2 linked regions of the Rhinolophus ferrumequinum genome follow. The protein of the gene in region 2 purifies or fractionates together with the protein of the main gene of each other region. This does not show direct contact. Links are inferred from orthologs where the notes say so. Each region holds a gene or a part of one and is shown on either strand. Other genes may lie near its edges.

Region 1 (8,003 bases), on a different chromosome or scaffold from region 2:
GAAGGCAGGTCTTGAATTCTTCATCCTGCAGCACTAAGATTCTGGTTGAGAAACTTGAGTGAAAACAGAGAGGGGGTGGGTGGTGGGAAAAGCAGACACAGAGGTGGGAAAAGTTGCACAGATGATGGACTCCAAATAATTTTCCTTTCAAAGTGCTCTATTTAACCGGGTTTATCTGCTAATGTTGTTTTGTTGAGTACATTAATCAATACTTGTTGAACTGAATAAGCAACTTCAGAAGGTTATATTCCATGCTAAATATACACAAACTGAACTGTTTCTTTTTTTCTGACCCTTTTCACTTTTCTTCGACTTAAAAATAACTTTAAAATATTTGTTGACACTTTTTACTTTAGTATTCTCTATAGAAAGAACCCAATACTTTTCCGTGCCAGGAGTAACCTCAAAAATGCGCCATGTCTAACTTTCAAAAGCAAAACATAGTCATTAACGCACGGTTCAAGCAAACCAGAAGTAGGATTACCACACCCCCTTCTTACAAATTACAAGACTTGGTTTGGTTACCTGAAAAGACTGTTGATTAACCAGACTATAAACCAGGATGAAACCTTGGCCGTTTTTGATGTAGAGATCTCTCATGGAGGCAAACTGCTCAGTTCCTGCGGTGTCCAGAATTTCCAGCACCGACGGAGAAGAGTCCACTTCGATCTCTTTGCGGTAGAAATCTTCAATGGTGGGGTCATATTTCTCAATGAAAGTCCCAGTGACAAACTGCACAGTCAGGGCAGATTTGCCAACCCCTCCGCTCCCTAAAACCACTACCTTGTATTCCCTCATGAGTCTCACCTTCACTAACTCCTACCCGAGGGAGGGAAAATAACGCCCCGCTAGCAGCGGCGCGCTCGGGGAGGTGGAAGGTGGGCGGAAATCTGCGAACTGGGGAGGAGAGTGCAGAGAAACAGAGGGCCCAACGCGGGACGAAGAGGAAGTTAAGGGCGGGGGAGGGGAGAGAGCGAAGTGTCGGGGTGGGTGGGGATGGGATGGTAATGCCCTTCCTATAGGAACTGAACCCCAGGCAGGGGGCGTGGGGAGGAGGGCGCGCCTGGAGAAGCCAAGCAAGGGTAGGGAGATGAAATGCGCCCTTGGAGGCAGGGGCTGGAGGCTGCCGATCGTGGGGCTCCGGCAGGCAGGCGGACGTCCGAGGAGCCCGCAGCTAGGGGCTGCCCGCACCCCTCCCCCGCCCTTCACACAAAGGGGCCCAGGGACCCCGCTTCCTGCTAGCGCCGCTGAGCCGGCCCAGGCCTGTGGGCTCCACTCCCGTCACTGCTGCCGGGCGGGTCTGTGGGCCGCGGCTCCCACGGGCGTCGTCCGGCCTGTTATAGGGGAAAGGGGCGCACGTTACCCGCCTGACCCCCTCCAGCCCCAAAGCAGCAGCCCCTGCTGCCGCCTCCCCCAGCTCCACCCCCCACCCCCACCCGGCTGCCTCCACCAACGCCGAAGCAACCCGCTTACCCTGCAGTCCGCACCCGCCCGGCCGCCCGGGAGGCTGTGTCACACCAAGGCCATGGCCACGGGCCGGCTTCTGTCTTACCGCCGCCCCAGCGCTGCTGCTCGCAGAGGGGAGAGGGGCGGGAGCCGTCCAGCGGCGGCGGCGGCCGCAGGGACTCCAGGCGAACCCACCTCTTTTTTTTTCTCATTCACTCCCCCCCCCCCGCCAGTACACACCCGGAAGGGTTTCCCTGACACACTGGCTGAGGTGTCCCAGTTCCCTGAGACTGGACCGGATCACTTCCGGTGGGGAAAGTCCCACCTCTTCGGAGTGAGCGGAGTGGCGCTGGGGCCGCGCCCTGCTGGGCGAGACGGCTGGGGACAGTTTTTGGTCGGGGCTATGGCCTTGGCAAGGGCCTCTCTGAGAACCTTCAGCGTCGTTCTTTTCCCCACCAGCAGCTGCTGCTGCTTCTGCTGCTAGTCCCATCCCCAAAGGTATTGAAGCCCCTCAGCGTCTCAGCCGCCCCCAGCTCTGCCGGAGGACTTGATCCCCTCGTTGGCCTGTGCGGGACAGCCAGTAATGATCTAATGACCGGGAGAATGCCCAACATCCCTGGACTAGAAGTGGCAGGAAAAATAAAACAGCCAAGAAAGTTTATTCTCTTTGCTGGTATTTCTTCTCCTTGATCTTTTTTTAAAAAACTCGTGCAAACTACCTTTAGACTTCATTATTGCTCTGATTTCGTATGTGGTGGTGTGTTTTACTTGGCTGTGCCTGACATAATTAAACACAGTACTTTTATCAACTGGAAAATCTGCCTTGATTCCATTAGCAAATGCCAAAGTCACTCCTTTTCTTTCTTGTCACCAGGCTTGGAAAACAAAAGGTTTACCAATAGACTTTCCAGGTACTCTAACTCAGCTTTGCCCCTGATTCCAAGTGCTACACAGCAGGGAAAGGTAACCAATATACAGGGAAGAGTTGATTGTAAATTGTTCAATTTACTAACTTCTTTTAATCTTTCATTATCTGCATGTACAGCTATTTGTATGGCTAGCTCTTCCATGTTAAGGTTTCTTTTAACAGCCATCCTCCATAGTCATTGAAATTCGAAAGCACAGGACTCTAGTGTTAAATATTAACTTTCTATTTTTAGATAAAATTGTTACTTCTTACATATCTTTCCTCTGCTAACTTTCTACTTGTAAACTTTGTGTCAGATCCACAGGCCCAGAAAGCTAGGTTATTTTTTAGGCATGTTACTCCCTTTTTGATTCAAGCACGCACCCAAAAACCTGAGAGATTCCGTGGCCAGTCTAATTAAACTGACTGCATATTTCCTTACCTGCAAGTCCTAATGGCCAGACTGTATTAAAAGAGATTACCAAACCCAGATTGTTAGATACTAGAAAACATGTAACTCACAGTAGTGTGAAGTCCCACTGTGTCTCTCCCTGAGTATTCCCCAATGTCACTTACAGTATCCAAAGGACAGTTTAGTTCAATTTCTCCTCGGCCCAGGGCTGGAGCAATCTGTTCAGAGAGGTCCCCAGCTCTGGCTCCAGCTGGCCGGAGTCCCGCCTGATATCTGAGGCACTGCCCTCTGCTGGAAGAGGTTTGGTCTATGAGTTATGAGTCTCCCCATAGGTCATTGCTACTTCCACACGTGCCGTTGCCTGATTTGGAGCTCTGCTGCCCATCTCCCTGTCTAGCTGTCTCCAGACTGTCTGGTGGAATCCACAGCCTGCACCAGCCCTGCTTGTAACTGAGTCTGGAAATTCCTCTTCTGATCCAGCAATCAGTGTTGAACAGTAGTACCAAGTCTCTGCTCTGTTACTAAATTGTCAAAACAGGGAGCTCTTCCTTTTGAGGTCATCCCACCTGTTGGCAACTGTAATAGTCCTGAACGTGTTGGCCAAAGTGTTCGGGAGAAAGTTCTTTTGTTTCTCCACACAGTGAAACATAATCCTCCTCTCAGTACAGAGTTCTATTGGGTCACTCTCAGCAACTACAGCGTTGATAAATGTTACACTCGGTCTGAAGCTCCTTCTAAACTTTTTTGGTAAGGGAATACATTACAGCAGCATTTATGAAAGCAAACAATCAGAAGTAATTTAAATGTCCTATAATAGGTGATTGAAAATTGTGTGTGTGTGTGTGTGTGTGTGTGTGTGCGCATTCACAAAACGGGATACTATGCAGCTACTAAAAAAGAGATAAGTAGATTCGGAAGTGCTGATATGAAAAGATACCATAATATATTGTAAGGCTGAAAAAAAAGCAAGATACTGAACAAATAGATAGTTGCTCTCATTTATGTAAACTGTGCAATATATATTATATAGCCATTAAAATCTGAAACAGTCATTAATTATCTGTGAGGGGTATTATAAAAGGACTTTTAATCCTTCATATCATTTAAATTTTAAACAATCAGGTATTATTGGGGAAAGGGAATAAATATAATTTTATAATATTTTTAAAGGAGAAACAAAAGGAAGTTGTTGATCACTTACTCAAAAACAACTTCCTCTACATCCTGACTGTCTAGGGGTCAGTGCACAGGTCTGCCCAATTTAAACAAACTCCCTCCCCCTTTCTTTATTCTCCTCCACAAATATATCTATACTTAGAAAAGTATTTTAACATACATTATCTTATTAGATTCCAGTTGTTCACCAGTTTACTTTTATTAGGCAACGAGAGTGTAAAGACCAATTAGAAGAGCACTGCCTGGCAGTTGAAAGCCAAAGGCTCTGAACTGAGGCAGACAGGCATTTAAATGGCAGCTCCTCCACCTCCTAGCTGTTCCTAGCTGTGGGACCTCAAGCAAATGATTTCACCCATTTGAGCTTCTAATTCTTCACCTGTAAAATAGAGCTAATCATTTAATGTGAGAATATAATGAAGTTTTATATGTAAAATATATAAGCACAGTCCCTTGCTCTGTATGAACCTTTAATAAATGCTAGCTATTTGATTTCTATTTAAAAGAGTTAATAAAGTGTTATTTTTAAAAAAATCAGCACACATAGAGAGGAAAACAAAACTTGAAAAGCCCAAATATCTCCAAGTGGCACAAAAATAATAACACAACTACTCTTTCTAAAGGTATTTATTGTTAAAAGTTTCTTGTATTGCCTTTCAGAGAAAAAAAAATGTTGTTTATATATTAGTATATCTATCAATCTGTCTTCTATATGTATTTTTTAAAAATTACTTCAAAAGTAATCTGACAATACACAGCATTCTGCACGTTGCTTTTTTCACTTACTATATCTTGGTGAATTTTCCAGTTGAGAACATATAGATGTACTTCATGTTTTTTTTTTAACAGCTGAACCATGATTTAGTTAACCAGTTCCAGCAACTGAAGGACACTGGTTGCTTCTAGTTCCTTACACTGAACATCTTCCACATACATACAGAGGGTGCTAAAAAAATGTATACACATTTTTTAAAAGGAAAAATGCTAGCGTCATTCATGGTATTACAATTTTAATACAACTACAACTATTAAAATTGTAATACCATGAATGACGCTAGCATTCATTTGATTAACTCCATCTTTTGAGCTAACATCATACTACATATTGCTACCGTAATTCCATTCAACTTCGAAAAGTAATACATAGATAATATCTCTTAAAATGTGTACATATTTTGGCACCCCTGGTATATCTTTGCTAGTTATTTTTTGGGTGAATTTTCAGTAGCTGAATAATTGAAACAACTGGTACTTGCATTTTAAATTATTCTGGTAAATATTGCCAAGTTATCCTTCAGGAAGATCACCGATTCACATTCCTACCAACACAGTATGATGGTAACTGTTTATCACCTCATCCTAGGTATTACTAATTTTAGTATTTCTTAGCTACTGTTACTCATGTTAGGGTATTTTCAGGACTAACAAATGCAGGGTAGTATTATAAAAGGAATTTGGGCTTCAGAGCCAGACAAGCCTAATATTGCCCTTTGCCAACTAGCTCTCCATTCCCTCATTTGTAAAGTTGGGCATACTAGTGGATCTGGCTTGTAGGACTCCTTTGAAGAATAAAAGAGGCACGTCATTCAAAGCACTTAGGCACCCAAACAGTAACTGCTTAATTACCATATGACCCAGCAATCCCTCTCCTGGGTATCTACCCCAAAAATCTGAAAACATTTATCCTTAAAGATATAAGTGCTCCAATGTTCATTGCAGCTTTATTTACGGTGGCCAAGACATGGAAACAACCAAAGTGTCCTTCGATAGACGATCGGATAAAGAAGTTGTGGTGTGTATATATATATATACGTATATATATATATATATATACGTATATATATATATATATATACGTATATATATATATACTATATATATATACGTATATATATATACGTATATATATACGTATATATATATATGTAATGGAATACTATTCTGCCATAAGAAAAGATGAAATAGTACCATTTGCGACAACATGGACGGACCTTGAGATTATAATGCTGAGTGAAATAAGTCAGACAGAAAAAGTCGAGAACCATATGATTTCACTGACATGTGGTACATAAAACTGAAAACAACAAAAGAACAAGAAAAACAAATGAAGAAACAAAAACTCACAGACATAGACAATAGTTTAATGGTTATCAAAGGGTAAGGAGGGAGAGGGGTTGTGGATGAAGGTAAAGGGGAGCCAATATATGGTGATGGAAAGAGAACTGACTCTGGGTGGTGAACACATGACGTGATATATGTAGATATGTATTACAGAACTGTACACCTGAAATCTATGTAACTTTGCTAACAATTTTCACCCCAATAAACTTTAATTAAAAAAAAACTAAAAGACATCAACATACAACTAAAGCAGTGGATGACGCAGAGACATTTAAAAAAATAAAAAATAAATGTAAACTGCTCAAACAATAACTTTCCACTCCCAAGGCTCAAAGATGGGGGGAGGGTAACTTCTCTAGCGAGTATGACCTTGAGATTTAGAACTTCTGCTTTAATTCTGTGTCAACCTCCATTCCATAGTAATTATTGCTCGGGCAATCATTCTCAAGAACAGCCGATTTTACCATAGTATGAAGAAATCTTAGGGTATAAACCATACGCAGAATACAGAAGTTACAGGTACATAATCTTGTTGTATGCAATTAACTTGGCACAAGTTTAAATTGCTAAATAGTTTGCTTCAGGCACCAGTTGTTCACTTCTCTTATCCCTCCCTTCCACTTCAGGCATCCTTCAGTTTTGAGCCGTGGAGCCATAAACTGTTCTGGATAATTTTCCCTCACTTCCACCCTCCAAGTGAGCCCTCTCACCCACCTTCCAGGTCCTGGGGAGAAAAACCGAGCCCTGTTCTTTCCATGCCCCAGTACTTTCCTTCTCTTTTGCTTGAAGTTGCCTTCCAGTTAGTAGAAAGCTGAGTCAGTAGGGTCCTCAGTCTTTGCCTACGGAAATCTTCAGCAGGGCAAATCTTCTCTTCTTATTTCAGGCCTTTGGGAGGCCCCTTGGTAGCAGATTGTGTTCTTTCCAGCCCTTTCTAGCCTCCAAATCCTGCCTCAAGCTACACCAGCTATTGGCTCTGCATATCAGTCTCCCTAGGTACACAGAACCAATTTTATACCTTTACTATCTTTACCTTATTATAAAAAAATGTTCCTTGCAAAAAAATATTTTTTAAAGGTAGTCACCATTATATTTTAGTGCCTTTCAAAAATTTTTTCTCTGAAGGTAAAAAAAATATTTTTAAAACTAAAAGTGGGGTCATATTGTTCTGTAAGCTACCTCTTTCACTGACTGACACTTCATACCTGCATAAAGTATTAAAAGTAGTCATGTATCCCTCATTGCCTGAATACGCCTTCTCCCCCATACCTTTAGCTTTCCTACAACTCCAATTAGCATATAATCACATTCAACCTTGCCCACCTGGAATCTTCATCCAATCAGTGAAATTTCATGGCAAGGTCTGCTTACCACAGAGGCCACTACCCAAGCCTGGCCAGGCAAACATACCTACAGAGACACAAAACTGTTATTTTCCAGATGTGACAGCTGAGTTCCTTGGAGCTCAGTGGGTTATTAAATAGAGTGTACCTAAAACAGATCTGAACTCCTTAATCGTTTTCCCTCTCTGTGGGGACAGAGCCAGGAGTGCACTTTCCAGGCTCTCGGCCTCACGTGGAAAGGTGCTGGCTCAAGTAGTAAATGGCCAGCAACTGTGATTGGATGGCCATCTGCTGTGGCTAGTTGGCCGTCAGCTGTAACCAGTGAGCCATTGGCCACTAATATATCCGCCGTGGCTAAGCTAGCAGCAATTGGGGGCCTAGGAAGAAGATGGTGGCTGAGCTAGCAATAGCGGATTGCAGTTAGCACGGCAGATTGCAGCTAGCAAGTGAGGTTGGATGCCAGAGAGAAGTGGACGGCAGTTTGCAGATAGTGTGTCTTCTGCTTCCTGTGTCTCCAACCCAGCCGCCAGCAAGAATATAGTGTTATGACTCCCCTATCTATGGCTCCGTGGGTGTTCCTTTTTGGCCTCACCATGTCCTGCGT
Region 2 (7,608 bases):
AACAGAAACCCTAAATAAACTCCTATGCATAATGTAAATGGCTCTAGAAATTATACAGTTGAAGGGAGAAGAAACGGAGATGTTAACTGTTTCTGCTAGCTCCATCACCTCTAGGACTAAACTGCCCAGCACCAGTTCATAAATATTAAAGAACTTGTGATAGTAAGAAAACATGTATGAAACAATCAGGAAAATGTTAATACTCAGTATTTGGTTCTAAGGAATTAATTTTTTAGGTGTGAGAATGGCACTGTGATTATCTAAAAAACAAAAAAGGTACATCCTGAAGTATTTATGGGTGAAATGGTTAAGATAATGGAGGGGAGGAAGACCTCAGATACCAGATTAGTCACGTGCCGGTAACTGTTAAACTATGCGATCTACTCTCTCCCCTTGGGTATGTCGAAATTTTCCAAAATGATAAAACAGGACTGCTGATGAGCAAAGTCTCAGGCACTGTTCTGTTCGTGATTGTATGCCACTTGTGCACAGGTTTCTTAATTCTTTAGATTTGCACAATTTCAGAATTTCTCCTCAACTGTACAGACTCTGCAGTCAGAGAGCTGTGTCACTGTCAATATCCCAAATACTTCCCAAATGCAGTACTCGGGAAATCTATTTCAAAAACTTGGGTGAAAGAGAGGATGGAACCAAAGAGGAAATGCGGAGGGGAAAAAGGTTTAATGAACCAGCTAGCAAAAAGAACTCCTACCTTAAAACCAATTAATACACATTGAGGTTTCATTCTTTCTTCTTTCTTGTGGTTGAAAAACAGACTGTCAGCTTCTGGTTTACTTCACCACCCTTCACATCCATGCTCACCCAGGAAGATACAATCCAACCACCGTGTAACCAGGTCAAAAACAAGCTTTGGCTAACTCACTTGGAAGAGTATACTCACCATTTAGATTTAGCCAGAAAAACTGGGTTAGAAAAAAACAACTGGTGTTTAAACAAACACTGGGGCTAGGGCAAACGTCTTTAAGCCAGTTACCAGGCCACTCAATGAGTTGCAACACAATCTTTTCCAAAATTTTCCAAAGGCTTCCAAATTCAGTTGAGCCAGCAGGCTGAGTTAACAGGGCTCCTTTCAAATTCAAAAATCTGGCCACAGCCCCAACAGTTAACCAACAAAACACAGTCTAATTCACTTGAGATCACCTAAGAATCCTGACTCAAGTTCAGACCACCGGCCAGTACACAGCCTGTCCAGGGGACACTGGGGTTGGGGAGACACGTTCAAGGGACAGATAAACCCTATTCATTCAGCAAAAAACAGACAATAGGATCCACACTTAATTCGCCCTAAGAAAATGTCTACAGTCAGCTTCCATGCCCCCCCCATTCTCATTATTAATGAGACAATGACAATTCTTCATGGTGAACCACAAAGCCCTGCTTCATAAGATATTTTTTTCTATTCCAACCTTGTACCCACTCTAACAGCTGCAAACACCCCCAGGGCAGATAACTTTTAGAAAACGGCTAGTATAAGAAACAAATCAGGACAGGGAGATTTAACCTTCTGTTTCAAATGTTCAAGGCCTGCGCCTCCATTACCTACAGCTCCTTCATAATCTCTAGAATGTGCACTGGACAAAATGAACAGCACAGCTAGTCACATCAGGTGTCAGCTACTCAAGGCAGACTCACAGTCTCCAGGTTTGTTAGATTCATTTGCCATTGCGGGGTGAGTGTTAAAAAAGAGAGAAAGACCTGGGATGGGTGTGAAAGCTGGGCAACCTCTTTACTCCTCACTCTCCCTCATTTCTGTTTCAATTACACACCTGTCAAACAGGTTATTCCTGGAATTCAGATTTTATAATCCTCACACTGCAATTCTTCCTGCTCCTGTGGCCCAAACACAAGCGCTCCCTGCTTCTCCAAAATATGTATCCATCAGTAGACTGTATGACAAAGTTATAGTGTCCCAGGTAGCAACAAACTCCACACCTTGAGAGCTTGGCAAGCATTCAAACGAGGAAACACGATGACAATTTTCAAGAAGGCCAAGGCAGTGGTTTAGGATAACCATGGGCAAGGCCTGCCTAGCCTGAATTTTAATTAACACACAAAGTCAGAAGGCCAGATTTGGGGAAAACGAAAAAAAAGAAAATGAAGACTGTCTTATGGAAAGAAAAAAAAAATGCTTTCCCCTTTTATTATAGTGCATGCCTAAGAGTGTAGCTTATTTCCTTATCTCAAAGCCAGGAAATGAGGTCTTTTAAGGCCAGTCTGGATGTAAACTGTTTGAAAACAGAGGGCCTGCGAGGAGAAACCCCTTTCCCAACTTTGGCCAACTGGCGTGGCCTCCAGTCAGCAGCAGCGTGTTTATCACCCCTCTGGTCCCCCGACCAGAAGTTTCAACATGCCACGGGAAACAAAGAAGGCGCCCCACACCGACCTTATAGACTTGTCCGTAGGTGCCATTTCCAACCACTTCCACCAGCTCAAAAATCCCAGCAGGATCCTAGACAAGAAGGAGGGGAGGGGTTATCATTTGAAAGCTGCACAACAATGAATCAATACAGCGGGGCAGTTGGAGAGAAAGGGCGGTTACAAAGAGGTGGGTTTCGCCCGGCGATGTCCTCCAGCAGCCGAGGGTCGCGGGTGCAGAGCCCGGGACGCTGGGGGCGGCGGCGGGGGCACCCCGGCCCCGCACATGCCGACACTGGCAGACAAAGGGGCCGCCGCGCCCGCGGCTCTGCCCGCGGCGGCGCCCGAGCGCCGAGCGGCCCAGGGCGCGGCCCCTGCGCCCTGCGCTCCGCGCTCCGCGCCCCGCGCGCCCCGGCGCCCCTGCGCCCGGCCCGTCGCGGCCACTCACCCGCAGGGACGAGAGATCGATGTCCACCAGACTTTTTGCGGGGGAGTCGTTCGCCATCTTCCCTTTTGGCCACCAGACCAAGAGTGAGGATGAAGATACCGATTTCGGGATGATTTCCGTCGCAGGCCAGGCCGCCGACGGCGCCTTCTCGCACGGGCGCCGGCGGCCCGGACTCCGCCTGGCGAGGCCGGGGCGGACGGAGCGTGCGCGGGGCGGCGGCGCCGCTCACACCATGGCGCGGCCGGTGGCAGCCCCCGGGCGTCGCCCGCGCCTCAGGCCCCGCGCCCGCGCCGCGCGCTGCTGACGGGCCCGGAGCTGGGGCCGCGGCGCCGCCGAGAGTTGAGCGAGTGAGCGCGAGGCCGCGAGACAAAGCTACCCGGGCGGCGGGGGCGGAGCGGGGAGGGAGGCGGGAGGGGGGCGGGCGGCGAGGGAGGAGGGGACACGGGACACCGAAAATATATTCCGAGGAGAGAGAAAACAGCTCCCCCTTTCCTGCTCCGGCAGGAAAAACGGGCGGAAACGCACTCCCACCGAAGCCCCGCTGGGGAGGGCGCGGGGCGAGCCGCCCGCGCGGCGTGAATATGCATCAGGGGTGGGGCCGAACAATGGCCGGCCGGCGGCCCCGCGCCGCGCTCTCCCCGTGGCCGGAGCTCGGAGGAACACGCCTGGGGTGGCCCCGGGGATGTCCTCAGAGCAGGAAGGCGCCCCTACCTCGCACTAACAATAAGCAAGGAGCACTGACCTGGACCCAAAGGCCGAGAGGCGGCCGGACCCTTCTCTCACTGTCCCTCTAAAGGGACTCGAAGGGGGTGTACCCAAGCAGAGCACGGTCCTCCCTTTCGCTTCATTCCCACTTATCCCCATCTCCTTCTCCCACCACCCTATTCTCCACCCTCAAGACCCTCATTTCCGATTTCCCTACATGGTTGTCTTGTCCCTTCTCCAGGCTAAATTTGTGACTCGGTTGTAGTGGCGGGATTCGCTGAGCATCCCTTGGCTGCCCGGTCCCAAGTCTTTGGATGGATGGAAACAGATTCCCAAACAGCCCCTCTCGTGCTGAGTTACCCAACTCAGGCGAACACTGTGTTTGGGGTCATAAGTACTAACCCGAGTTTTGTGCCTAGAGATCATTAAGGATCAATAAACAGGCATCTTCCAGACACTTTGGAAGCTTGTGGGTGGTCAGACAACTTAATCCTGTTAACCAAGAGCTATTGTCTGTGCACAACCATCGTTTTTATCACATCACTCTGCTGTACAAAAACCTTCAATGGCTCCCTATTACCTCACAGCAGTTTCTCAAGCCTAAATTCACAGATTCACCAGGAGGGATTGTAAAAGCACTGATTGCAGACCCCACCTCAAGCGTGTCTGATTCAGCTGGTCTGGAATAGGCCTGAGAATTTGCTTTTTTTTGGGGGGGGGGAAGGGAACAGTGTGTTTTTCCAGGAGGACCCCTCAGCTCTAAGTCAAGCCATTGTTTCCACTCTGGTTGTGGAGGGCGCAGCTCACTAGCCTATGTGGGAACTGGCGACCTTAGTGTTATGAGCACTGCGCTCTAACCAACTGAGCCAACAGGCTGCCCCAGGATTTGCATTTCTAACAAGTCCTGGATGAGGCTAACCTGCAGTCACAGGGGCCACACTGAGAGCAGCAGCCTCACAGGGTGAAAATCCAAGGCCCTTCATAACTAGGCTTCACATACATCACCATCATCATCGATTGTCACCTTGTACACAATACCCGATTTAGTCCCTCCCCTAGCCCGGGAGTGATATTATCCTTATTTTAGGGGTGAGGAAACCAAAGTACTCGAAGATAAGTAATGTGCCTAAAGTCCTTAAAAGCATAGCCTGCAAGAGGAGCCGGGATTCTCACCAGGTCAGCCTGTTCCCCAAAACCCAAGTCTCTGATTCAGCGAGGTTAGTCTTCTACCCCACGTATGTTTAGCTCTCTCCTGCCTCCCAACAGTTTGGTTTCCATGATTTTGCACCATGAGAATGCCTTGTAAAACTAAGGTACCTTCAAGGACTCCTGGAATCCGTTGGTTAGGAAAATCATAGTAACCAAAGTGTTCTTGTGAATTTTGTAGTGCTTTTAAATGATTTTGTTTTTTAACTTAGCAACAGCAACGGCGTTATCTATGAGTGTAAATTAAATAATTTTCTCAGAGAGCTAGATTGGTGCCCATGTGAACTTTCAGACCACATTAGAGTAATATTTTAGTAGTGTTCATTATGAATAATAGATAACACATATTGGGTCCAGACGATGTGCTGAGTCCTTTACATACATTATCTCATTATTCTTCACATTAACCCCAAACAGTGGGCACTCTTACTTTTCCAACTTTACACATTAGGAAACCAACGTCCAAAGAAGTGAAGTGACTTGCTTAGTGTGCACAGCTGAACTCAAGGCAGAAACACCAGGGCCCGGGAGCCCGCCAAGCCAGCCTCAACTCTAAACTCATGACTTTGAGGCCCGCCTCAGACCACCCCTTCTTCTCTGCCTACCCAAATCCTCTCCATCACCTCAAGCTCAAATCAGAAACCATCTCTTCCTTCTACCAGCTTTCTCAAAATCTCCTGAGCTACAATTTCCCATGATCACCACTATGACGGTCATGTCCCACTTTCCACTCAGTACCTTTTCTTGAAGTGCCTACCCAGCACAAGGCCCTGGCTTAGCCACTGCCTGAGATACAAGGAAGATTAAGGCAGCCTATCCTCAGAGCTTACAGTCTGATAATGGGTGTACGACAGCTTCATAAATAGCTATAGTTAATGGCAGAACATAATAAATTCTGGCGGGATGGAAAGAGGTCCAATGGGAAGTAGGCTGGATTCAGGGCAAAGATGAACTGGATTTGAACCCAACTTCCCATTAGTTGTGTAGCCTTGCACAAGTTGCTTGACTTCTGAGCCTCCGTTTCCTGTTCTGTATACGAGATGAAGATGAGGTAAGAAGTACAGTAAAAGGGCCATCTCAAGAGCACAGGCCAGGTAATAGCGCCTGGGCTAGTCAACTCTCTTACGACTTGGCATCTGATGGGATGCCAGAGCAGTGTAGACGACATTAAAATTTTTCGTGTGGGATGGCTAGATGACTCGGTTGGAGCACAGGCTCTCAACCACAAGGTTGCAGGTTCCTCTCCTTGATTCCCGGAAGAGATGGTGGGCTCCGCCCCCTGCAACTAAGATTGGCAAGGGATGGTGGGCTCCGCCCCCTGCAACTAAAAATGGCACCTGGACCTGGAACTAAGATTGAAAAGGACAACAACTTGACTTGGAAAAGTCCCAGAAGTACATACTATTCCCCAATAAAGTCCTGTTCCCCTTCCCCAATAAAATGTTTAAAAAAATTTTTTTTTTTTTTGCTTGTGGTTTGGAGCTTTGTCCACACTTGGGAGGATGCTGTCATGAGCAGAGGAAAAGATGGGAGTTTCTGTATGGTGGTGGCAAAGGAAGGTTGGGCTTTGGATTTGGACTGTGTGCAAAGACAACTTTTCATACAGAAGCAGGGTACCCCTGCCCAGCATGCTACTCTGCTCAAGCTCCAAGGGTAGGGGCCATGTTCTCAATAGGCACAGATTAGCTCAGGCTGCCATCATAAAATACCACAGACTGGGTGACTTAAATAACAATTTCTTTTCTTACAGTACTAGAAGCTAGAAGATCAAGGTTCCAGATGATTTGATTTCTGGTGAGAGCTCTCTTCCTGGCTTGCAGATGGCCGCCTTCTCACTGTGTCCTCACATGGGCTTTGCTGAGAACTAGTACACAGAAAGAAAGGACAAGCTCCCTGGTGTTTCTTTTGATAAGGACACTTATCCTATCGGAACAGGGCCCCACCCTTATGACCTCTATGAATTTAAACTTAATTATTTCCTTACAGGCCACATCTCCAAATACAGCCACACTGGGGTTTAAGGTTTCAACATATTGGGGGACACATTTAGTCTATAACAAGCCATGTGCAATACGTGATGTCAGGAAATAAACTTAAGTCATGGCCCTTGTACTCAGGAATCTATTTGAGAATACAAAATAAACCCACCCAAAGAGATAATCGAGATAATAATTTGGAAAATAATACTAATTTGGCATTTTAGGCTGAAGGAAAAATAGCTTAGTTGGACAAAGAATGAGAAGTTGAAAGAATGAGGAAACTGACCACACTGGGTCAGAGGACTCAGTTCAGAGAACTCTGAGAGATAAAGCTAGAGGACAGGTTAGGTGGCACCAGAAGACAAAACCGAGGAATGAATGATGTGGGGATTAAAAAACAAACCCAGAGTATCAATTAAGTCAAGGGAGATATGGCCTAGCCTTGGGCTTTAAGAGTTCTGATGGCAGGAGAGAGCTTATGGGTTCAGCAGGCCAAGGGATATAAATGTGCATCTTCCCAGGGTACAAGCAGCTCACACCCAGTCACAGAAATTCCAGGGGAAGCTTAATTATGCAAGAGGTCAAAAATGACAACTCCCTGTACATCACTTTACATATCTCCTAGTTTTTTTGTTTATTGTTAAAATATTGGTGGAAATCGATTTTCAACCTTAGAATGGGGCAGGGCAAGGAGGGCAGCAGAGCTGTGAAACTGAGCCTGAATATAACTGAGGGGCTCAGGGGCATAGAGGACTTGGGTCAACTGGAAATAAATGATGAAGCAAGGGGAATTGAGTCAAACAAAGAAAACAATGGTGGGGTGTGTGCAGGAAGAGCTCAGAAAGGAAAAGCATAGGTTTAGGGGTCAGAGGTCTGAGTTCTTATTCTCTAATG

What was found. The genes of interacting proteins can lie anywhere in the genome.
Region 1: the proteins of MAP4K4 (region 2) and RAP2C purify together in Homo sapiens (affinity purification with mass spectrometry; 3 studies listed by BioGRID and IntAct, counting the BioPlex papers as one, with this or other methods). This does not show direct contact. The link is inferred for Rhinolophus ferrumequinum from reciprocal best matches to the Homo sapiens genes MAP4K4 and RAP2C.

The regions. Positions count from the first base shown.
Region 1 is NC_046284.1:23,655,388-23,663,390, reverse strand, and holds the start of RAP2C (ras-related protein Rap-2c), read right to left. Parts: upstream 3,021-8,003; 5' UTR 2,930-3,020; intron 1,663-2,929; exon of another isoform or gene 1,474-1,662; intron 1,335-1,473; 5' UTR 799-1,334; coding exon 526-798; intron 1-525. UniProt on the Homo sapiens protein: Small GTP-binding protein which cycles between a GDP-bound inactive and a GTP-bound active form. May play a role in cytoskeletal rearrangements and regulate cell spreading through activation of the effector TNIK.
Region 2 is NC_046296.1:3,142,098-3,149,705, forward strand, and holds the start of MAP4K4 (mitogen-activated protein kinase kinase kinase kinase 4), read right to left. Parts: upstream 3,051-7,608; 5' UTR 2,882-3,050; coding exon 2,825-2,881; intron 2,471-2,824; coding exon 2,405-2,470; intron 1-2,404.